3 linked regions of the Lepisosteus oculatus genome follow. Each later gene encodes a partner of the first gene's protein in a complex. Links are inferred from orthologs where the notes say so. Each region holds a gene or a part of one and is shown in the gene's direction. Other genes may lie near its edges.

Region 1 (7,784 bases):
ACGGTCAGTTCAAGTCATGCGACTCCACAAAGACTGGAGGGATTCTGATTCCTATCTTAGGAACCTATTGGGTATTAATGGCAGATCCCCATTTCTTCCCACTTATAATGCGCCATCGTGCTGTCATGTAATGATATAGTGTGCTGTGACTGGCTGTCATGTGATCAGCAAGCACTAAGAAAGAGCCCGAGCTTGTTATCCAAGTCACAGATTTCAGCCTGTCTGTGTGTGCCAGCAAGAGTGACAGTGACTTAGAAAAACCGAATAGAGGGGCCAAATGGCCTACTTTTGTTTGTATCTTGCCCTCAAGATTTACAAGCCTGGAACTGTAAGAATGGTTGAAAGACGATGACGGGGCCTTACAAAACTGGAATTGTATTGGTGGTTGGAACGGAAAGCCAGTCCTCCCCAGAACTGATTTTAAGTACCCCATGCTTGGATGTCCATCTACATGATAAGAGATGATCTACTGGAATGTCTAACAACCTGGTCGCAAGTAGAAGCATCATTATCACCTGTACTTATACACTCCGCCATGCAGTCCGGCTCCAGATCTAAACCCTCCTCAGGTGTCCAGTGTCCAAGCTGCACAGCCAGACAAGGGAGAAACCCAACATGCCAAAAAGGCTGGGCAAGAGGTGAGATTCAAGTATGTTCAGTATACAGTAACTTGCACTTCATTCCTTATTTTATATTTCCATAATTATTTTGCAGTACCGTGCATGTGTTTCCCGTGAAGATTTCCACTGCGAGTGAATATTATTTTTCAGTGGTGCAGCTAGATCCTAATGAAGGCAGCAGAGGGATGGAGTATGTAGGTCTTAGTTGGCGTGGCTGGACTAGCTGAGGGGATGGCAGCCTAGCTGGGAGCTTTTCTATTGAAAAATAAAAATAATAACAAGACAAGGTAATGTGGTTTTCAAAGCTTTAATAATAATTTAAAAAAAAACAGACCCAAAAAATATGAGGGCCGCCAGACAACCAGCTCAAGAATAGTATATTCTAGTGGATTCAGTTCTATCCTGAAAACCAAGTGTTCCAACCAGAATCATGTGTGATTTTTTACTGTAAGTGGATGTTTTCTACAGTCCAATTATTGAATAATGGAGTATGTTAGGGCTTTCCATGATACCAAAAGTATTCATAATAGTTGACGAGTTAACAAAAAGGAGTGTTATTTTATCACAAATACCAAATTGCTTAAATTTATTCCCTCTAAAAAAAAAACATGCACAACGTCAGTCTGAAAATGTAAAACCTTGAATCAAAGTTTATTTAGCCAAGAAATAAATTATTATTTTTTCAGAGGTGCCCGAAATAACCCCTAAAGTTCTCCTCAAATGTCCAATAGTAGTTTCAAACAGGAAATCATTTAAATAACTTTTCTTTGTATCTTCATCAGTACGATTCATTATCAGATGAAGGATGTTCTAAGAGAACTTCTGTCTTTGGCTACCCTTATCAGACTTGCTCCTGTAATGGTCTGTTTATTGTTGTATGATGCAAGCTAAAATATTCTCACAAACATTGGGAACTTTTTAAGTCCTCAGCTCTATCTAGGACACCAGGGCCAGAGGACTCAAAACAACTCAAAAGAAGAACAGATCCTTGTCTATTATTCACAGAAGGAATGGTGTTCTTATTTAATATACTAGATGAAACTGTTCAGAAAGTCAAATTGTGTTTCATCCAACCACATCATGTGGTCTCATTTGAGATTGGAGCTGTTTGACATAATGCATTTTTTGTTGTTTTATGCTACTCAAAGCCGTAAAATCTAAGTTTTATTTAGAAGTTTTTTTGAGGATCTCTAATGGTTACTTATTATAGGTGGGAGTAAGCATCCCAAACTACTTCTTTTTAATGCACATAACAATTTAAAACATCCTTTTGGTGGATTAGCCTTGAACTTTACAGTATAAAGATGGACACAATAGGTGAAAATGGCATGTCTGATGGATTTCCTGCAGTGGACTATGGATTTTCCTGTCACATACTGTAAGTTACTGAGCTTCATAACCTTTTACCTTTGATCTTTGAACAATATCTGACTTTCTCCATGATGACATGGTGCTGAGTTTTACTTCAGTGTTTAGCTTCCATGGAAACAATCAAGGAGAAGCCCAGAAATATCTGAGGTTTCGTGAAGCTATTGGCTGCACACATAAGAGAATCAAATTAACAGCATTTATTTTCAACACATTTACAGGAAATGTGAAGGTTATACGAATAAATCTGAACATTTTGCAACAAAACATATTTTATAATTTTTTACAGTTACACATTATATATAATCAATACTTTTCATACACTTTAATCACTTTTTAATTAATAAATGTTTGAAATTCTTGATGTACAGTATCTCTACAGTTTAGGCTAAAACTTACTGTACCTTCCCAAAGGAAAATGTAACAAGATTGCTTTCTGCAATCACAATTGAAGATCTTCAAGGTCTCTGGCTCCCTATTCTGGTCCTGGGCCTTCTGTTTTTTCAGGAATTTTTAATCGAAAACTAATTGGTTTCAGTTTTCAGTTCAAGGAATGTTATAATTTGCTTTTATCTCTTCAATCAAATGTCACTGTGACTGGTATGAACCCTGTACCAATTTCTGAGTTTCAGAACTTATCTCATTCAGGTTTTTCAGCTAATATTTAACCCACTAGACCACAGCAAAAGAGAAACCACTCACTGAGGGAGTGTCTGACACATTCAAATTTCCCCATCTGTGTCTGCTCATCGTGAATTGATCACTAGTTTCGGCAGAAAAAAGGGAGCCACTTCTTAATACACACATTGGGAACAAGGCTGAATTAAGTTCTGTATATTGAATTTGGTGGAATAATACTTTGCATAGAATATTTCTAGGTGCAGAAACAGGAAACCGAGAATCTAAATCAGCAGATCTCGGCTGGAATGAAAAGCAGCAGACACAGAGATCTCCAGGACGGGCCGTGGGAACACCTGCTCTAGGTATTATTATAACACAACATTAAGCATTAATATTCCTTTCTGTTGATCTGTTTATCAATCCAGTCCACATCACCTGTAAATGCATATGTGTGTTGCCTCCAATCTACATTTCCATCCTCCTGTATCTCTTCAATATCTAGTAACTTATGATGGAGAAGACAGTCAGTTATCAGGAGACTTAATTATTTTTCTAATTTAAATTAGGGGTTTTCCATCTGTGTGACTTGTCACAGATGAGATAATAGCATTTCTTCATTTCTGATTGTCCCCCCCTTTTTTTATTTGTGTGATACGCACACTGTAGCTACAGCACCAATACTTGCAGTACTTGGGTGTATCAATATTTCCCTTAAATGCTATCTAGGAGAGATGATAACTTACTTACATTGCTTCATTTTCTTGTTCTCTCTCTGTCTATATATAAAAATGTTTTTCTTTTGATAGCTTTTGAAGCTATTGGAATCTACATGTAAAGTACAGTATGTTACCTGGGGAGGTAATGTACAGTATATTAAAGAGATGATAATGTTTTATCATCCATTGCATTCTACTAAGTTTACTATGGTAACTAACCGTATTTGAAAAATAAGAAATTAGCATAAGTTATTTTCGTTTTATTGCAGTTTTATCAAATCAGTGTAACCACTGGATAGTATTTTTTCTGAACACTGAAGTCTTTTTTCTGAATACTGAAGTCTTTTTTCGGAATACTACAAAACACTGCCACTACAAGCCATTGATCTCAGAAATGTAGAGACCTCCCACAGTGTGAGCTGTCTATATTATTTCCTTGTCTGTGGGTCACTGGAACAATGGCTGAGCATCTGTGTCTAATAATAATAATAATAATAATAATAATAATAATAATAATAATAATAATAATAATAATAATTATTATTATTATTATTATTATTATTATTATTATTATTATTATTAGCGACCAAAAGGCACACCATGAGGAGATAAATGCTTGAAATTTTGGACAGTGGAGCCTCTTTTTTCAACTAAGCGTCCCACAGTTAAAGTTGTACAATGGTTATGCTATTGTTGGTGAGATGGAGCGAATAAAACTGTTAACTGTTTTAATTAAGGATATTTTTAAACAAAACAAATATGTTTCTATTAAAAGGCAGACTGATTTTCAGTGAATAAATTCGTGTTTCTGTGCAGTTAGCCTTTCTCATAAAAATATCCTCCCGCTGACACGGTTTTATGCTGAATAATCAAAAGTGGGATGCTATATGGTTTGAATTTCACATTTGTTAAAAATGAGCTCCGACAGCATTTATTTCAGTTTAGCTGTAGAGAAACGCTCACATTTGTGCGTTACAATATTTCCCATAATACAAAAATATAATAAACTATTTACAACACACATTATTAGTATTATGCTTATTTATAATAATGTTGATAATAATACTAATAATAATAATAATAATAATAATAATAATAATTATTATTATTATTATTATTATTACATGCTTAAGGGCAGTCACTGATAAAAATACATGTAACAACTAAAGGAGCCACATGGTGACAAACAATCTTGACATTGATATTTTGATTCCTTTGGTTCTTGAAACGGGGTTTTACTAGAAAATCCACATGAACAAAGTTTCTAACTGTCTGAAAATACATCTGTACATGCATCGGCGTTTCATATTTTCAGAAACCGCATGGGGCTTGTGTAAGAGGTCTCCTGGAGAAGGCGCACGTGTCCCAACTCATATTTCTTTCTCAAACCTCCTGCTTTGTATAAATACTAGCATATCAGCTTCTAGCTGCAATCCCGACTAGACCAGATCCGAAAAACCAGGGGGAGGAGAAGGAGAAAGGGAAAGAGGGCCACCGTTAAATTGCATTAAACATGCCATTCTCTCCTCTCTGGGTCTTAAACTGGATGTCTACTGGTCTTGTGCAAGTTTCGTACCAGACAACACGTGAAAAGATCTCCTCCTAAATTTGCCTTCCTTTTCGCAAGCGATTCCACCGAGTCAACTGATATTGATGCGTTTCTGAATTTTTAAATGATTGTCAGCCGTAGGAAACTCGGATACCCCCATGCATTTTAATTTGGGTCGAAGAAAGTCTGAAACTGCGCTTGAGCGACTACAAGATACCAAGACCGATTAAACTTTTTGAAAGGAAATATTGCGACTGCTTTTGGTCTCGGGATTGCTGAGATAGTGTAAAATGCACCTACTTGGATTATCTCTTTTTCTCGTCTATGCAGTGTTTCTTTACAGAGACTTCGCTTTTGAATCAGGTCATGATTATTACGACTATGATCAAGATCAAGGAGATACGAAGGTAAGCGTTTATTGCAGTTTGCCCTTTTCCACAAAACGTGGAAACATTCGTTAGCATTATCGGATGGTAATTTCGGTGTGTGAAAGTTTACCAGATGCTGCAACACTGCCAAAAAGGGAACAGACTAAAAAGATTACGAAGGTATTTACCACCTGGTAGACTATTTCGACATTTGGTTTGCGGAGACTTCACTCGGTGGCATGATGTTCCTGATGCTTCAAATTTGCGGTGAAAGTACAACTCTGGGTATTACTGTATATACTCAGAATATTATTATATAACGTTTTGTTTTTGGTAATCCGGTGTACGATGCACACTGATTACTCTTTTCTTAATGAGAAATGTCTCATCAGTCTGTGAATGAGCAACGCATCTGTTCATACCTGTAAAATCATCCTAGATCGGATTTGCGTGGTGTGGTGTTCACCGGGTAACAATGTTAAGTCAGAGGGAGCCGATGAAAGGCAGCGAAAGTTTTGAAGAAGCCGGATAAAAGGGGTGGAGAGGCAGGTGTCAGCAGGTCAAAACTCGAATGCGTGGGTGTGCTGTTTTGGGGGAAAAAATCTTAAGAAGGAATTTGTGACATGTGGCTGTTTAGTGTGATATGCGTATCATAGTTTCCTTTAAGATATCTTAAATTATATTAAGCTATACGTTTTCCCATGTTCGTACTCAGATTGTGTTTAAATATTCGAGATATTGCTCAGTAATTATAGACATTTTAGCAGCTTAATCAGAGTCAAAATGCGGTGCTGTTTCTGTTCGATTACTTACTGTACTGTATATGTCGTCATCTGTTCACACTTTTACTGCGTTTCTGTACGTATTTAGGTTTGTGAGTTCAATTTAAAAAATAGCTCTCTTCTAGATTGCTGCTTCATACCAAACTTTGCCAATTTAAGACAAATGATAAGGGAATGAGCCTCAACAGCACGTTGTTAAATATTACTGCATGTCAATGGTGAGATTCTGTGAGAAGTTTGGCTTTTCTGTCCCTCCATCTCAATACAGAATACAGATGTAGAATTTCTTATGGTTGCAGTGTAAGATCTCATGTTAAATCAAGATGGATTTAAGGACAAATCATGTTTGGGATCTCAGAATTAGTGGTAGGCAGCACCAAATCTTGCAAGTTGTTTTTACCCTCTTAAAGCGTGGAGACAGTATACAGTATGAGTTACTCTTTTTAACATACAGTTGGTCGAATTAAGAACTTAATTCTGGAACTAATAAACCCACTACTGCTCGAGATACCGTACATTAAACTTTCCACATTGCAATCAAACTGGTTCCTATCAGAAACCCCTGAAGACTTGTACATTGATATATTAGCTTTATGTTTCAGGTCTCTGAATCTGTGAAAGGCTAGTCCTGCTTAGTTCTTGGATAAAACAATCCTTGAGGGGAAACAGGATGATGCTTCTTGTAGCCCTCTTATGAAGATAAACATAAAGCAGTTACTCAATGTGGTACAAGGGGGCGCCATGATGGTGCAGATGTCTGCTTAGATTACAGTGAGGTCCTGCCTGATCAGTAGGGGTTGAGACTTATTGACACTTTTTTCGTGCAGTAGAAGTCGTACTGATTTTGCTGTATTTATCAAAGGGAGTAAAAGTTTATAATGTTTGGCCTTTTTAATTTAGTAGCACATGCTCATCTTAGAAAGATGGCTTCTACTGTATAGTACACTTAATTATGGAATGGTTTCATCTGGATCATTGAGGAAACATTATTTGGGTTTCTTTGTTATTCGTTAGAACAGTGTGTAAGTATTTTTTGGTGTTTTAACATTCAAAACTTAGTTTTTAGTGTCCATTGCACTGGGCAGTAACAGATGTAGAAGACAACAAAGGGCAATACATGCAATAATAACAGAGGAGAATCCATTAAAGCATCAGGCCAAAAGTACAGTATATGCTTAAAAAGCAACAGTGCTGTTACACTTCTTTGTGGGGAATTGACTCACGGGTATACAGTATTATGATGCAAAAAGGAAACATTCTCCAGTTTTGACTTCTGTAATCTTAGTAGACTGAGACTACTTAGACTAAAATGTAACAGTGAAAGAGCTATGGGAGTGAGTGGTGTCTGGGCAGTTTGTTTTATTTTATTGTACATGAGCTCATCATGAGAGTCTGGGTCAAGAAGTTCATAGAACAGAGAGCCCTAAAATGTTTCACAGACATATCAATTTTCAGTTTAGTCTCCTTTGACCTCAATGCACTTGGCTTAGGTGTCCTTAAAACTGTATATGCCAACCAATGGGGTCCTTTAATATTACCCCTTGAACTAGGCCTCTGTGGAACACTTTGTGCTTTCGTCATCTGCAAACCATGAAGGAGAGCTCTCAGAGTTCAAAGCAGATAATAATTTCTTAGAAACAGATCTGTACTATAAGATAGGTATTCAAGCATGCCAGAGTTCTGTTCACAAATGACAGCTTAGATGAAATTGGGTGTTCTCTTACGAGAAAGCTATCTAGACATTGAGAGAACTAAAGATC
Region 2 (6,934 bases), about 4.8 Mb from region 1:
TCTGACAAACTGAACTAAAGTGGTTATGATTTTTTTACTCTGTCTGAGGTAGAACAGTGACCTTGAAACCTGATGCTTGAAATATGCTATTTACTTGATAGCAAATATAATACTTTATATACTACCTAACCAGTATCACAGATACATGCAGGTGAAAATACTGTTGGATTAATACCTGGTCAAGACAGACCAAAGGCTATAATAAACAATACTGAAAGACATTAAGACAAATGCCAACATCTATTCAGAATTTATGTTTTATCAGTGTGTAAAAAATATTAAATTATTGTCAGACATATTACCTCAAACAGATTGGGATATATTGCAGACATCTTCAACACCTCAATGTGCATATAGGTGTACCAGTATTTGGCCTAATTAAGTCGATTTTAAGTGTTTATGTAGCTAAAAGGTTTTAAATTCTCAAATGTATTTTGATAAAAAGAACTATTTGTTTTACAGTGCAATTTTGGACCCATGCTTCATGCACCAGCACTAGCAAAGATGACAGTGGCCAGCAGCAGTGTTGAGGTGTGCTTACAATACATGCTGACACAGCTCACTGATCTTATTCATTCATAGTAAGCAACACAGAATTTTCCCATTTTGAACAGTGTTGTGTATCTTTACAGCCAACACCCATCTCCCTTTGTTTTTCTAAGGCAGGTCTCTGATGAGTTAAGAGGAAGGACATGACTAATCAAAGGAGAAAAATATGTTATTTCCTCAAAATGTACTTTCCCTTATTCACTAAAACGTACAGTTATTACTGTTTTGTCCTTGTCTTTTAGTCATTTCAGTAGTTCACTCAAAACCCTAAACACTGTTGAGAAGAGACATGATTCAAATAGTGAGTTTTTTTATTAATTTGCCTGGTTGAGGAGTGTGACAACCTGTCCATAAGGATGGGACTTTCAGACCCACCTCCTCCTTTTCATGAAGGATTATCCAGGGAGCTACTGCAAGGGTGAAGATGGGTTGGAGGAAGAGATGTGAAAACAAAATCTGCAAGCCAGTTATATATATAGATATTGGTCAGGTGGAAGTGGATGAGAATAGGTGCTGTTATAAAAAATCTACTAACTGTGGAAAAATATCTCCCTATCCCAGTGTATTACATGTTTAACTTTGCCATATTCAAAAATCAAACCAAGTGTTTTCCACAGTAAACAAGACCTTTAACTTTTCGCAACTTTGATTTTTTGTGAAACATTTTGGTCATTTGTTGTTGTTTTTTTTTTGGGGGGGGGGATATGTCACGGTTTGCCATGGAATGCACTGGGATAGGGCGATGTTCTTTTACAATCAGACACTCCAACTAGGTGTTTTACACACTAAACAGACCGGGGTAAAGTTAGCTTGAAGTTCAAAAACGATTTTGGCACACTTGTAGCTTTTTCACAAAACCTTCTAGAGTTGGGAGAACACTTTGAATGTTTTCACAGTCTTCATTTTGTCGTTTTGTTTGCCATTTTTTTTTACCATGCAGGAATATTCTTATGTTCATATCTTCGCAAGGGAAACACAGAAAGCCTTCAAACTATTTGCATTTTAAAGACCTCTACTTGTGAAACTTTTCACACCCCCTACATAAACATATCAGTTACCTAATTCTTTTTTTCTGACACTCAGGGACACTCTGGGTTTTCAATGATGTGCAATTACGCACCATCTGGAACACTGGGGGACCGCTGTATACATGCGTTCACAACCCGAGAAATACTGCTCTAGAGAGTTTCATGTGAAAAACCTGTACTGTATATCACCATAGGAAGCAGAACTGCACAGTCTCCAATTACCCAGACTGTAAGCACAGGAATAAAGCTTTGTTTTATTTCTGAAATCCTTTCTTTATTTCCTGTTTTCATTCAGCAGGAAAATTCCTAATCTTTACTCAACAGCTTTTTAAAAACAGCACCCATGATGTTCAAATAATAATGTCCATGACTTTTTTTACACAGAAGACTGACACAGCTTTGGGTTGTGAATCTCTTTTTCTCATGGTTTTATTGAATGTGGCACCCTGCACTGGGATAGGGGGTGCTGTTCACGAGCCAATAGCATTAAAACCACAGCACCCACAAAGCTGCAACTAAGTGTTTCACACACTAAGCAGATCCTCCGACCTTTCCCAGCTTTGTTTTGGGTTGTGAAACTTTTCTTTATTTCTTAATGATTTTTTGAAGATCACACTACAGGTAATACTTTTACACACTTTGAAGGTCCCCTCACCTTATACAACCTTGCTTTGGGATGTGAAACTTTTCTGAATTTTTTTTAGGATTTTTTCAATACGGCACCATTAGAGAGGCAGTACATGGGGATGGGGGTGCTCTTCACAAGTCAATAGCTTTTGCACAACCATACTCATTATACTGTAACCAAGGGTTTTACACACTAGGCATGCCCACTGACCCATTACAACCTTGCTTTGATATGTGAAGCCTTTCTTTCAGATACCTGGCTCTTTTTTCAGATACCTGGACATGTACATTTTGCAAACCCTGGTCTGATGAGGGTATGGTATGCACAATGTCACAGTGGTAGGTTTTGCAAGCAGGAAATGTAGTGATAGATTTGAAAGGAGCAAAGCATAGTTCAGTGGAAGGACTAAGTTTATCTGCAGGAGTATTGGTTCTGTAAACTAGGGACTAGGAATCCAACACCATACAGTACAAAAAGGAAACACAGAAGTGTTTATCGATAAATCTTTTTTTAATTGTTGTATTCCTTATTACATGCATGCACAACCATTGCAATGATAGAATCAGATGCAACAGATTTGATGATAAAATATGTATGCAATTCTGTGTTATATCCAGTCATATTAAAACAAAGGGGGGAAGACCATGTCTTCAGGGATGATGTTAAAGACGTTATTGTTTTGGCATGCTGGAGACAGAAATGTTTGGATTAATTAAAACAGAAAACCATTGTGAAAGTACTCCAAGGTGTGTTTCAGTTATACAGACAGAAAAAAATGTCCCTAGGCATAATTTGCTTGCTATAAATATGTTCCTAAAAAGGAATAAAAAAGCCTTTTGATTGGATACTTTGCCCTTGAGCTGTGAAGCTTTTAGATTCTTTGGGTCCTTTATGCAGATCTCTCAACTGTAGGAGCACCCATTATTAAATGATTAAAAAAAACTATGAGAAGGAATAAACTCACTGATTGTTTTATGTAGAGGCTGTGAAAAGTTTCACAAGTAGAGATCTTCAAAATGCGTTTGGTTTGAAGGCTTTCTGTGTTTCCCTTGCGAAGATATGGACGTAAGAGTATTCGTGCGTGATAAAAAAATGGCGTAAAAACGACATAGTGAAGGCTGTGAAAATGTGAAAATATTCACAATGTACTTTGTACACACAGCAAGTGTTTTCGTAACTACGTTTCGTGAAAACGCTACAGGCATGCCAAAATCATTTTCGAACTTCAAGCTAACTTTACGCGGTGCGCAATTGCATAAACTAACAGAATGCAATTACAGAAGGTATGAGTTGTAAAACAAAAAGTTGTAAAAAATTGACAATTCGAGATCTTTATGCTGGTGGCTTGAAGGCTCTGTATGTTGTAATCGCAATGTTATTGACATATGAAACTTCGTGTATCAAAAATAATCAGGCGTTTAACGATAAATGAATCTCTAGATCATTTTCCACTTCTGAACATCCTCTGGCTGGACAATACTAACGACAGCTATCTCGGAGAAATCCCTCTGAATCTACCTTTTTTACATCTTTACACATCTTACACGATAGAATACTCTGCCGTCCATTCATCATCAAAGTGACGGATACTACAGTATAGTCGGATATTTGAAGTTAGAGCTCATTTGGGTGTTGTCAAGCGAATGTAGGAAACTCCTCCTCCCTCCTAAAGGAATTTCCACCCTAACAGTGCCCACCAGCTTGTCCTGAATGTACTGTATTACTGAATCGGGAGAGAAAATACACAGATTCGAAAGGATGAACTGACGCTCATTCCGGGAAACACTTAAAATATTATACTTTTTATCCTTTTTTATCAATACTAAAGACAAGGTTTTACATTTCTGAAACAGGTTAATTATTGGAATATATGCGTGTAATGATTGCTTGCAGAAGGTAATTGCATCTTAATGCCGGGATTTCACCTCATTTGTGCTCGGAAATGTCATATTCATGTATTGTCATTACATTTATGGGATTTGTTTTTCAAGCACACTGGTTGACAGGTAAGAAATCCTTCGTTTCTGCTAAATATAGTGAAGTAACAGTTTAATCATTAAATATTACGTCATCTTCATAAGCCAAATACTAGATTGCACGCTAACTTTCTGAAGTGGGCTTTGGTGAAAACGCATGTACTGTAGTCATAAAACGAATTATAGAAATAATAAATGACGGTCAAATTCCTTTTGCAGGAGTTCATATATGCATAGAACGACAACAAAGTACTGAAGGTTTATAAAGACCCAGCAAATATATAACACATTCTTACATGTGTTATTACATCTTATTGTTATGAATGAAATTCGCTTGTAGAGTTTGGACAGTTCAAATGCTTATTATAAATGGAGGGGAAAAAAAGAAAATACTGCAAAATAACTGAATTTGAGACAATTTTCTTACCGTCACGTACTGAATGGGCAACCCTATTTTTTTATAATAAAAAACACAGCAACAGAAAATATATTATGTTTACTCTATTGTCCTGATCATTTTCTGAATGAAAAGTTATATTTGGTTGATACACACTTGCTTAATAATTGTTGCTTACTGTAACTGTAATTATTACAAACAAAATAATTTAAAGTAATAACTACAGCAAAATGTATTAGACATTGACGTATGCTTGTAACTATGAGTTTCTCTTTAGTTTTATCTGTGCTAGAAGTTGGTGATTACTATGCCTGGGAAAAAAAAACATTTTATAGTAAACAGCTTGCAGGACAAACTGCCCTGATTCTTACTTTTGGTGGAAAATTCCATGTGTGATCAATTTTAAAATTAAAATACACTTGGATTACATTCTTAATCCTTCAGCTGCAACTACCTTGCAGCTACAGGCTTTGGTAGAAACGAAATATCCAAATTTATTAGCAGCTGATATGAAAACAGATGACTTTATCTGTTAACTGAAAATCTATAGTAAGTGTTTCTTTTTCTGTCTAGAATCCTACTTCTGGACTGCAAGGCACTCTTGTATTAATATCAATTGATAGTACATACCAATTATTTAGATAGTATATAAATGTATGATATTGGTAGCACAGTATATAGACTATTAAATAAAGCTGACACTAGAAATATTAGGTCAGCAGAAAACATGCAAACGTATTCAGTGAAATGTTAAGTATTCCCTTAAGGATAAAAGCATCAGTTGAAGGTCTCCTTTCTCAATACACTATATCCTTTCCCCTGGTCTGTTTCACAGCAACACCAGAAAACAGGAACTCCACCTTAATTTCAGAAAATATAAAGCCATTGAGTTAACTGGAGGCCATCTGCCTGCTTTTCCTGTTTTGACAGAATTCTGACTTGCTGTTACACAAAAAATACAATGAACTGAACTTCACACAAATTATACAAAATTTGTAATTTTAAGTCTAGGTGAGATTTTATAAAGTTGAATGTTATCAATGGTATATTTTTTAAGTAAATGTCTTTAAAATATACATTGCATGTTGTAATGCTTCATTACTGTATGTAGCATTCACTTTCTGTGCAAAATAATTTAAAATGTTCTTCATATTCCTAACAGCACCTGTTGTATAATCACTTTTGTTTTCAGCAAGTACCTTGAAGTATATGCCTGATCCACCAAAACTTAGCATCTCAGATAAGGTATACAAAATAAATGCTACAGACACTTTGGAACTTACATGCAGGTAAGACACAGACTATACCAAGAATGGCTATTTAATGTAAAGAAATGTATCATACATTATTCTCATGATGTTTGGATTTAACAAATTGATTAATTTAAAATGTGTGATCAACTTTTTCAATCCATTTCAAAATACTTGGAAAGTTCTAGAATGGCCATTAACTCTGCAGATTTACTAGCAACATTCTACTCACTGAATCCTGCTGATGTTAGGATGACTTGGATAGCCTAGTGTTTGAGTACTTAACTGATCCAAAAACCACCTGCACATTTTATGTTTTATGATATGCTGCCGTATGGTACATTGATAAATAACTAATTCCTTAAAGTTTTAGAATTGTTTCTCATGTGTTGATTTTCCTTTATGCTTTTCAGGTTATCCTTAATTACTTAGTTATTAAATAATCCATCATTGGACTCCAAAAACACTTTTCAGATATGTCAATATTGATTATCAAATAGTTATGCAGTTCTTATTATTGGAGTTTAAATTAATCAACAGAGAAAATTAATAAATAAATTACAAATAATTCATCGAAGCATTGCTGCTTTGCATCACTGTGTCCCTGGGTTCAATTCCAGACCTGGGGTGCTGTCTGTGTGGAATATGTATGTTCTCTCCATGTTCACATGGGTTTCCTCCGAGTACTCCAGTTTCCTGGCAAGTTAATTGGCTTCTGGGAAAACTGGCTGTGTTGTGAGTGTGTGTATCTGTGTCTGTGTGTGCACTGTGATGGACTGGCATCCTGTCCAGTGTGTACCCCACCTTTCACAGTTGCTTTCTTAAATGGGCTCTGGCTCCCCTGCAACCCTAAATTCAAGAAAGAGGTTAGAATTCGGGTGGATGGATAATTTACCATCAATATTATTTAATCATCCAAATTGAACATGAAAATGTGCTTCAGGCATCAGTTATGAAGTTGAACCTTTTAGGGTTCCTTTTCAATTGCTTATGAAAGTTCTTCTTAGGTTTTACCTTTTTAGGTTTTGTGGTTTTATGAAAACAATAATGTGATTTTTTTAAAATAATGAAGTTAATTTTAAGTTGGCAGTTTACATACCACTGTC
Region 3 (8,049 bases), on another chromosome or scaffold:
TCAGCCCAGTGCCACAGTGTCCAGCCAGGTGTGACTGCCTCCTGTTCGTCACTGAGGAAATGGGATGCTCTCTTGCGGAAGATATCATACAACATTAGGACATCCACTTGGCAATTAGGGGTGAAAAAAATTGTAAAAGGAAGCAAGATTTTTTTCTTTCATTATTATTATTATTATTTTCTCCTAGCTGGCACTTGAAAGGCTACAATTTCCTTCTCAAGAGTCCCCCCCAGGGTGTCCACTCAAGGACAGAGCCTTGAAACCAGTTCTTTCCATTCATGAGGTCCCAGGGTCAGGAAACACATTACCGAGCCCCAGTCAGACACGCTGCCCAGGATGGAGCCTCTATCTTTAAAAGTGTCGCAGGAGTTACGGTCCTGTGCCGAAGCTCTTTTATCTGGAAACTGATACGCATTAATTGGCATTCCCTGCTGATTTTTCTTTTCTCTGTTGTTCACTTGATTGTGGAACAGCAATGAAATGCTCTGCGTGATGGCGAGTCCCAGTTATCATTTTGCCAAAAAACAGCATCTTCCTCAGGGGCATTTCTGCCCTTTGTCAATCAGTTATTTTTTGTGCTGTGCTCAAAGGTATGTTACTGTTCACAGCAGAAGAATACCATCAATATATTATCTATTCCCTTCTGCTTTGGTTTTGATCAGTCTTGCAAATTTTCTGTGTTTTGACCTCATAAAACAACTCGATCTGTTACCCAGTGGTCCTGTTAAATTAAGTGATGTCTCTAAATTACTCCTGGGCATGTTTGTATGCACATGACATGAACGGGCATCTCATCCAGGATGTGCTGGTGCTTTGTACCCTGTGATTGCAGGAAAAGCTCCAGGATACCATGACCATTACCTGTTGCCTTGTCCTGTTAAATCAGATTGTGACAACAATCTGTGTATCATTGCTCGGGACACAGACCTACTTAGGGAAAGTAACCACAAAAGTCTGAGCACGACATGAATATGCATAGCAGTATTTGACGTCTAATGCTTTCATTTTCCATAAAGAGAATAGATTTCAGGGCGCTTACAAAACTTGACAGTTTAAAATATACAACACCGTTTAAGCTATAAACAATGAAAAATTCCGAGTTAATCAAATTATTAGTTCCAGTTATACATATATACTTTATATACTTTGCTTGCAAGGGTAAGCCATTCCATTATTCAGATATGCATTCTTCTGTTCTCAGACTGTCAGTTAAAAGGCAATGTTCAGCTGATGCCGAATTCAGAAATTCCACACCACAGAGACAAAAAAATGTGATTAGAGTTTTAAACAAAGGACCGGTCCCACACAAGTTTGTACCCCTCTCTTTTCAAACCTTGAAAAATATTATTAATTTCTGAATGGCTGAAAATGAGTCTTGTTTTTCGTTTGGAGGTGGTAGATGAGTACTGTGAGGGAGTTTTGTGCTTTTCATGCATTGAAGAGCGTCTCAGGCTGCTGTCTTGTTTGGAATCCATTTGAGAGGTAAGAGGAGATGACCTTCATTAACACTCTTCCTTCCATTTTGTATTAGACAGTTGATCTTTATAGAGTGCTGGGCTGTTTGTAATCCCTTTAACTGACATCTTCACGTTTACAATTGGTTTGAATCACAGGGACATTTTATACATAAAAGTTGATGTATGAGCTCTGGGGTCACTCTGTGATCTTCAGCAACCTCTGGCTCTGTCTGGGTTGAATCAGCAGGGTCTGGCCAGGCATTTATGTACTCAGTGAAGATGTCAGCATGCTAGCAATCGCGAGTCTTGAACAGGGGGTTAACTTGCCAGAAAGGAATGCCTTTTATTGTCAAGGATCCTTGCCAAGAGTTGTGGACCTGAAATCCAAAGGAACAATTTTTAATTACAACTGTTCAATGCAAACATTGTGTGGAAGGTCTGAGGTATGGGTGCCTTGAGGCGCAATGTAAAATATTCCTCACTGCTTAAAATAATAGAAAAACATTCTTATTTCAATATTTTTCTTTACATTCCTGCTGAAGAATGCACTTTCTTTGCACAATGTAACTTCCTTTCAGGGCTCAATGGCATTGTTCAGATCTCTCTCATCTTAAGCAGATGTCATGTCCTCACAAGACTTGTTGATAACTAACATGTCTCTTTTTGTTAACTCCAGTGGCTATTTCTATATTGTGAAGGGTGCACTTAATCAACCTTTTGGGAACCTCCACACACATTCTTAGTTTTTGATGCCACTGAGCAATGCACACAAACTTCAGCACTCTGTCATTCAATATTCAGTCCTGAGGCTATTTCCAAGGTGGGGAGTATCAGAATATTTCAGGTTTTGTAATAGCTTTGTGACAGCTGTTGATATAAACAGTACAAAGATAACAATGAACTCTGTGTGAAGAGATTTGGAGTTCTTCAGGAGGAATCAATTTAAGGTAATGCATTAGGCTGGAGTTCCTCTGCCTGTGCTGAATGTGGGCTCATGAAGAAGAGTTCTCAGCAGGACCATGCTATAGAATGCTCTGCCCACAATAACAGCTTTATTGATAGATGATGCCATGGCCAAATAAAACACAAGCACAGGGAGTCTTCTCTGGGAAAACATGATACAGAGCTTTGCGATAACTTAGTGGGGTGCCGATTGTCAAATTCCTGAAATGGAGCTTTGAAAATATCCAAAGTTAAGCATTTTTTTCTTCCCGGTGGCTTTTGATTACCCAGCCTCTATTATTTTTTTAGTATAAATTCAGAGTGATATGAATTCACAAAGGACTTACTTAATATGAGTCTGTAGGGAGCACATGGTTTTAATTCTGATGGCTTTTGCAGTCTATGAAGATGGGGCTTGAGAGTAGAAAAATACTGAACATCTCTTTACATCACTTGTTGCAAATGTACAACATACGGTGGAACTGAATACCAGATTTTATCCCTGTTTCTCAGTAATTAAAAATGTAAATGCACATCTGTAGTGACTTTCCCTTAGGAAGAGTTAATCACTTGCATCATTCTTGTATCTTTAGGATTTATACAAATGTCTGTGAAGCACATGAAGGCGATGCTTCACACTTAGTACTTGTATTGGTTTGTTTTTCCCCTTACATACTCTCCCACACCACCAAAGGTTTGTGAATGGGGATCACAACCATTAAAAATTGCTAAGCAGGGGTGCAGCAATCAGGAACGTATGCAGGGCAATGGCGGTACTGATAAAATTTAGACATTTCCTTAGTCCATCTAATATTCAGGATTTTCCTGTCTGGTTTGGAGTACAAGCTTACTGTGCCTTAAGTTTTGCAGGTTTTTACGATATTGTTTAAGGCCTAAATAGTCGAAAAGGAAACATTGTGCTCAGATATCAAAGCCCATGGAGTCTGTGGTGTGGAGCAGCGGTCAGGGTTCTGGACTTGTCACTGGGAGGTTGTTGGTTTGGACCTCAGGTGGGATACTGCTGTTGCACCCTTGAGCAAGACACTTACCTTGAATTGGTCTGTCAAAATGGCCAACTCTGTCAGTGATTCCAACTGCAAAGTGCGTCTTATAAAAGCATCAGCCAAATCGATATTAAAAGCCAGTTCACGCAACATGTTCTGTGGTGTATGTCATTACAAAGCCTTGGTAGATGTTAATTTAATTTGAATGCTGATATATTGCATGAATCTGAATAATCTCCTCGCTTTTTTTCCAACTGGTATCGCTTATTTGTAGCTGTGGTGTTTGTGATCTAATGACAGGGGCAAGGACTGCATTTTTTTTCATTTGTGGCTACATTTTCTTGTAGGAGATATGTTGCGAATACTATTGTAACGCAACGGGGGCTCAGGCGGGCGCCCTTGCCGCATTAGGTCGGCCCCTGCACCGTCCGGGGCTCGAACCCGGGACTTCCGCGTCTCTCTGCAGCGACCTAGCCCCGTGAGCTAAAGAGAGATCTCTCCACAGCCCAGTAGCTGTGGTCCTGCTATCACAGGGAAGGGCGGTGACGTCACCCGCTCTGGTACGCCGGCTCTTACACAGTGCCTGTCGGCCGTAAGCGTTACACTCTCCCCCGCTTAAATCGCCGTCCCCGGCGAAGGGCTATCCCATCCCACTTCTGACACCAGAGTGTAACGCTTACGGCCGACAGGCACTGTGTAAGAGCCGGCGTACCAGAGCGGGTGACGTCACTGCCCTTCCCTGTGATAGCAGGACCACAGCTACTGGGCTGTGGAGAGATCTCTCTTTAGCTCACGGGGCTAGGTCGCTGCAGAGAGACGCGGAAGTCCCGGGTTCGAGCCCCGGACGGTGCAGGGGCCGACCTAATGCGGCAAGGGCGCCCGCCTGAGCCCCCGTTGCGTTACACTATACTTTGTTTATAAGCACATTTTAAAAATCTCAAAGCTCTGACTAGAAGAAGGAGATGAGATATAACAATGATATAAAGAAAATACTATTTTGGAAAATTCTGTACTCTAGGCATTGGTCGTATGCTCACTGGCAAACCAAAGTAAAACACACTGAGGTATGGGAGTCGGCATAGCGGGGTTAATTTCTGTAAGCGGTTCAAAAGAAATTAGTAGGTGATGTTTCGTGGGAGACCTGCCGTAGTACAAAAACACCAAAGCACAATTTACAGTGTTGATTTTCCTTCATGAGGTATTTGAAATTGTTCTTTTAGAAACGTTTTCTTCAGCTTTATCACTCTTATCACCGATGTTTCATTCCAATTGGTTTTAAACAGATTGAAGCGTAAAGATCATTTAAAGACACGGAGGTATACTCGATTTAACTTCCTAAAGAGTTTAACAGTTTTCTGTCTCAAACGTTTGACTGTTTTCTCCTAACACAGAGAAAACAATACTTGAAAGTTTTATTTTTCCAGATGTCAGATGCTAGAACAATTAAATGTACATCAGAATTATTCGGACACTTGTCTTCTTCGTTGTTATGTTGGCGCTGGTGTTACAGAGTGGAGGAGGGATTTTCGCTTTTTACTGAAGTGAGGAGGGGGTTTATCATGGAGAACAGTCGCCAAAACCATTTCTGTATTTTTGTGAAAGTTAACGGTGGATGTGGTGCCTCAGTCGCGAGCGCTAAAAGAAGGGGGAAAAGGAAATCATTGTAAATCCATTCTGATCTTTAAAAAAAACATTTCCTTTTAACAGGAAAAGCGCCTTTTCTCTTCCCTGACTTTTTAGACATCCTCCCTGTCGCGCAGTGAGGACAGAGCAGCTTTGCTGAAGCTCACCTGAGACTTGCTGTGACCGCGGACAGAGACTTCTCTCTCACCCCTTTCTCCTTTTTGATTTCACAGATAAAAAAGGAACAACTGGGTTTTTATTTTTTAATTCGTTAGATCTAAACATCCGAGGACTGGAAATCTGGAAATGAAGAGAGATTTTACTATTTTCTGCCGGATTTGGATTGGGATCGCTTGTGTATCAGGTAGGAGTACCCTCTTTTCGGTCATTCCTCATTTGTAACACCCTAAACTTTCAGCTGTTTCTGCGTTATAATTAATCTGTTATTATACCAACTGTCGAAGTTTTTTTTTACAGGGATGTGAGAGAAAATGTGTTTGCAATGCACAAGTTAGTTTTCAAAGAAAATGCACAGAAGCCCTGCCAAAGAAAGCTGTCGACTTTGTGTATGTGTGGGATTTATAATCTCATTCATTTATTCTATGTATAAATTGAATATAAGGTAGATGTTGTATCTTCGGGAGCTTTGTTGTGGTTTGGTTGGTTAATGGAACAGACCGGCAATTATGATGGGTCCAAGTCATAAATAGGTCTCTTCCCTAATACACGTGAAATACAAAGAAAGAATCGTAATTAATATTTCGGAACTCTATACATTTTTTTTTCAAATCAATCAATATTGAAACTGTTCATATAACTAATTTCTTTGGCTATGAATGGAATTCACTTATTCACTCGATATAAATTCAATAGGCTTATGGAACTAACAGACCTGTCTCCGCAAATAAAGTGATGCTTGTAAAGGTATTTTCCCATATTTCGCGTAGTAAACAGCCCTCGATTACGCTACATTTTGCACGGAATGTATTTGACAGGTTGAAACAGGTTGTTCGCGTCAGAAATACGAGCTGTTTTCGTGGGCCTTTGTAACAGTACATTACGGTTTACTAAATAATGTAAAATTATCGAAAGTCGCAGGTTTAAGTAAAAATAAACAACGAGGATAAGCGTTAAAAACTCTGAACATTCCGATTACAAAAATAATTATAGAGGAGGAATACTACTGTAGAGTTGAAACGTCTTTAAAATCTCTGCGACAGAAGAGAATCTTCTGTGATGATGCGTAACGTTACTGTATGAAATAGTACGAAAGAATAACTTTCAATTGTGTCAGACTATTCGTTTTTGAACAGTTCTCAAAAAGTATATTATTCACTAAACTGATAGTGTTACAATGATATATCATGAAAAAAATAATAGCTACATAAGTGTAGGTTAATGATCCGACAGTTACATTAATAATACGGAGCTGCAGCTATTCATCTCCAAAAGAGTACAGGAGGAGTAACTTAAATATCAGCTGAAGTGACAGTATCTGGGATCCGCGCCACTACCTTGATGATCCAAGGAAAACGATTAATTGATCAGAGAACGCAGACAACGCCTTACAATTTCACATGCAGTAGTATTACCAACCGCTAGGGGGAGACCCTATGTTGTCATACCGTCAGGCCACAGCAACTTCTATAGCATCCGACCTGAGGGATGCTTATAACGGGATTTTCATTTTCAGATGCTACAAAACTTTGAGTATGATGTGAAACTACATGGTATACAAATCCCCATGCTCCTCATTTAGATGTGATGTAGTGTAATCCAAAGACTTTTACATTTTTGGTTCAAAATGTATTTTTGTCTCATGACAATAACAAGGCCGCTCCACTTGAAACCTGCATTTTACGTATTTTTAGTTTAATCAAAGTGTTTACAATGACTTGTGAAATGGCTCCATGTACGAACTGGCAGACGTTTCAGAGCAGTTGCAAAACCGAGTCCGAGTAATTTTAGACAGCGCAGCGCAGTCTCAGTGGATGAATAATAGATGAGAGTTTGGAGAAGTTTTCACGTGCGGCCAAAGAATTTCACAAGCACAGGATGTGTTGTATCACAGTTTTAATAAGTGCATTGTATGCTTTCCTCAAGTTGATTGGTTTTGAACGGTGAAACCTGTCAAAGTTGAAAGAGAACAGCCACGCATTTTAAATAGGCCACTCACTCATTCAGATGGAAATCGAATCCTATGTTTTACTCTTGTTTTTTTAATAACTGAGTATCGCTTATACCTTGTAAGCTGACAGTCAGACTACTTTGTGGAAATTACCCAGAAGTCTCCATATCCTTGATGATACCGGTTTCATTTGTTAGGGAGATGCAATGGATTAATTAAGTTTTTTACATAATGCAAATATTGTTTCCTTGTTCTGGTCATAAGACGACATGGTGGCTTCTGCCTCATTTGCAGAGTTTACATTCACTTAAATGTTATACAGGGACATTCGCCTTATGTCATTTGTATAGAAGTAACGCAACTGAGCTCATGCGACGTATCCTATAGTTACCTCAGCAAATTTGTGAGCAACCTAACATTTGTAAGACAACAACACATAAAAACAATATTTGTTTTATTAGTATTTGCCTATATCAACTCTACAAGAAGATTATTGAAGCTTTTATTGTCTTTGTGCGGAGTTACCATCGAAAGAAGAACATTTTCCCTTTTCACTTAAAAACTCTGCTGCTTGGCTTCCTTTTTGAAAAAAGGATTTTGTTGTTCAAGGCATTTGGCAAGACATAAAACAGTCTCCTCACTCTTCTCAAAAAATATCCAGCAATTTCTAAATGGGATCCTCTGGGAAAGGAAGTTGCATGGATTTTGGAATACTTGCCTTTATTTTTACTATTTGTCTTCGAAACACTGAAATATGAGATGTGAAGTGTAGCATTAAAACTTGTAGATTCTTGCACTATATTGATGCTATTGTCAAGGGTGACTGTGGATTATGGTAACTTTTTGATGAGTTAAAGATGAGTTATATAAGTTATGCTATTCTCGTATGATGAGA

Evidence for each region.
Region 2: the proteins of vegfc (region 1) and kdr are in contact, whole or in part, in a crystal structure (PDB 2X1W), measured with the Homo sapiens proteins. The link is inferred for Lepisosteus oculatus from reciprocal best matches to the Homo sapiens genes VEGFC and KDR. Residues at the interface, in NP_005420.1 of Homo sapiens: Thr148, Asn149, Phe151, Lys153, Phe186, Ile188, Val190, Pro191, Leu192, Gln194, Pro196; in NP_002244.1 of Homo sapiens: Val135, Tyr137, Ile215, Val216, Val217, Val218, Asn253, Val254, Gly255, Ile256, Asp257, Phe258, Asn274, Arg275, Asp276, Phe288, Leu289, Ser310, Ser311, Gly312.
Region 3: the proteins of vegfc (region 1) and flt4 are in contact, whole or in part, in a crystal structure (PDB 4BSK), measured with the Homo sapiens proteins. The link is inferred for Lepisosteus oculatus from reciprocal best matches to the Homo sapiens genes VEGFC and FLT4. Residues at the interface, in NP_005420.1 of Homo sapiens: Leu119, Asp123, Trp126, Gln130, Asn167, Arg210; in NP_891555.2 of Homo sapiens: Gln172, His199, Asp200, Ala201, Leu202, Tyr203.

What each region holds. Positions count from the first base shown.
Region 1 is NC_090696.1:73,855,818-73,863,601, reverse strand, and holds the start of vegfc (vascular endothelial growth factor C), read left to right. Parts: upstream 1-4,695; 5' UTR 4,696-5,164; coding exon 5,165-5,281; intron 5,282-7,784. UniProt on the Homo sapiens protein: Growth factor active in angiogenesis, and endothelial cell growth, stimulating their proliferation and migration and also has effects on the permeability of blood vessels.
Region 2 is NC_090696.1:78,665,765-78,672,698, reverse strand, and holds the start of kdr (vascular endothelial growth factor receptor 2), read left to right. Parts: upstream 1-3,907; 5' UTR 3,908-4,147; coding exon 4,148-4,211; intron 4,212-5,770; coding exon 5,771-5,867; intron 5,868-6,934. UniProt on the Homo sapiens protein: Tyrosine-protein kinase that acts as a cell-surface receptor for VEGFA, VEGFC and VEGFD. Plays an essential role in the regulation of angiogenesis, vascular development, vascular permeability, and embryonic hematopoiesis.
Region 3 is NC_090706.1:38,157,531-38,165,579, forward strand, and holds the start of flt4 (vascular endothelial growth factor receptor 3), read left to right. Parts: upstream 1-4,985; 5' UTR 4,986-5,332; coding exon 5,333-5,390; intron 5,391-8,049. UniProt on the Homo sapiens protein: Tyrosine-protein kinase that acts as a cell-surface receptor for VEGFC and VEGFD, and plays an essential role in adult lymphangiogenesis and in the development of the vascular network and the cardiovascular system during embryonic development.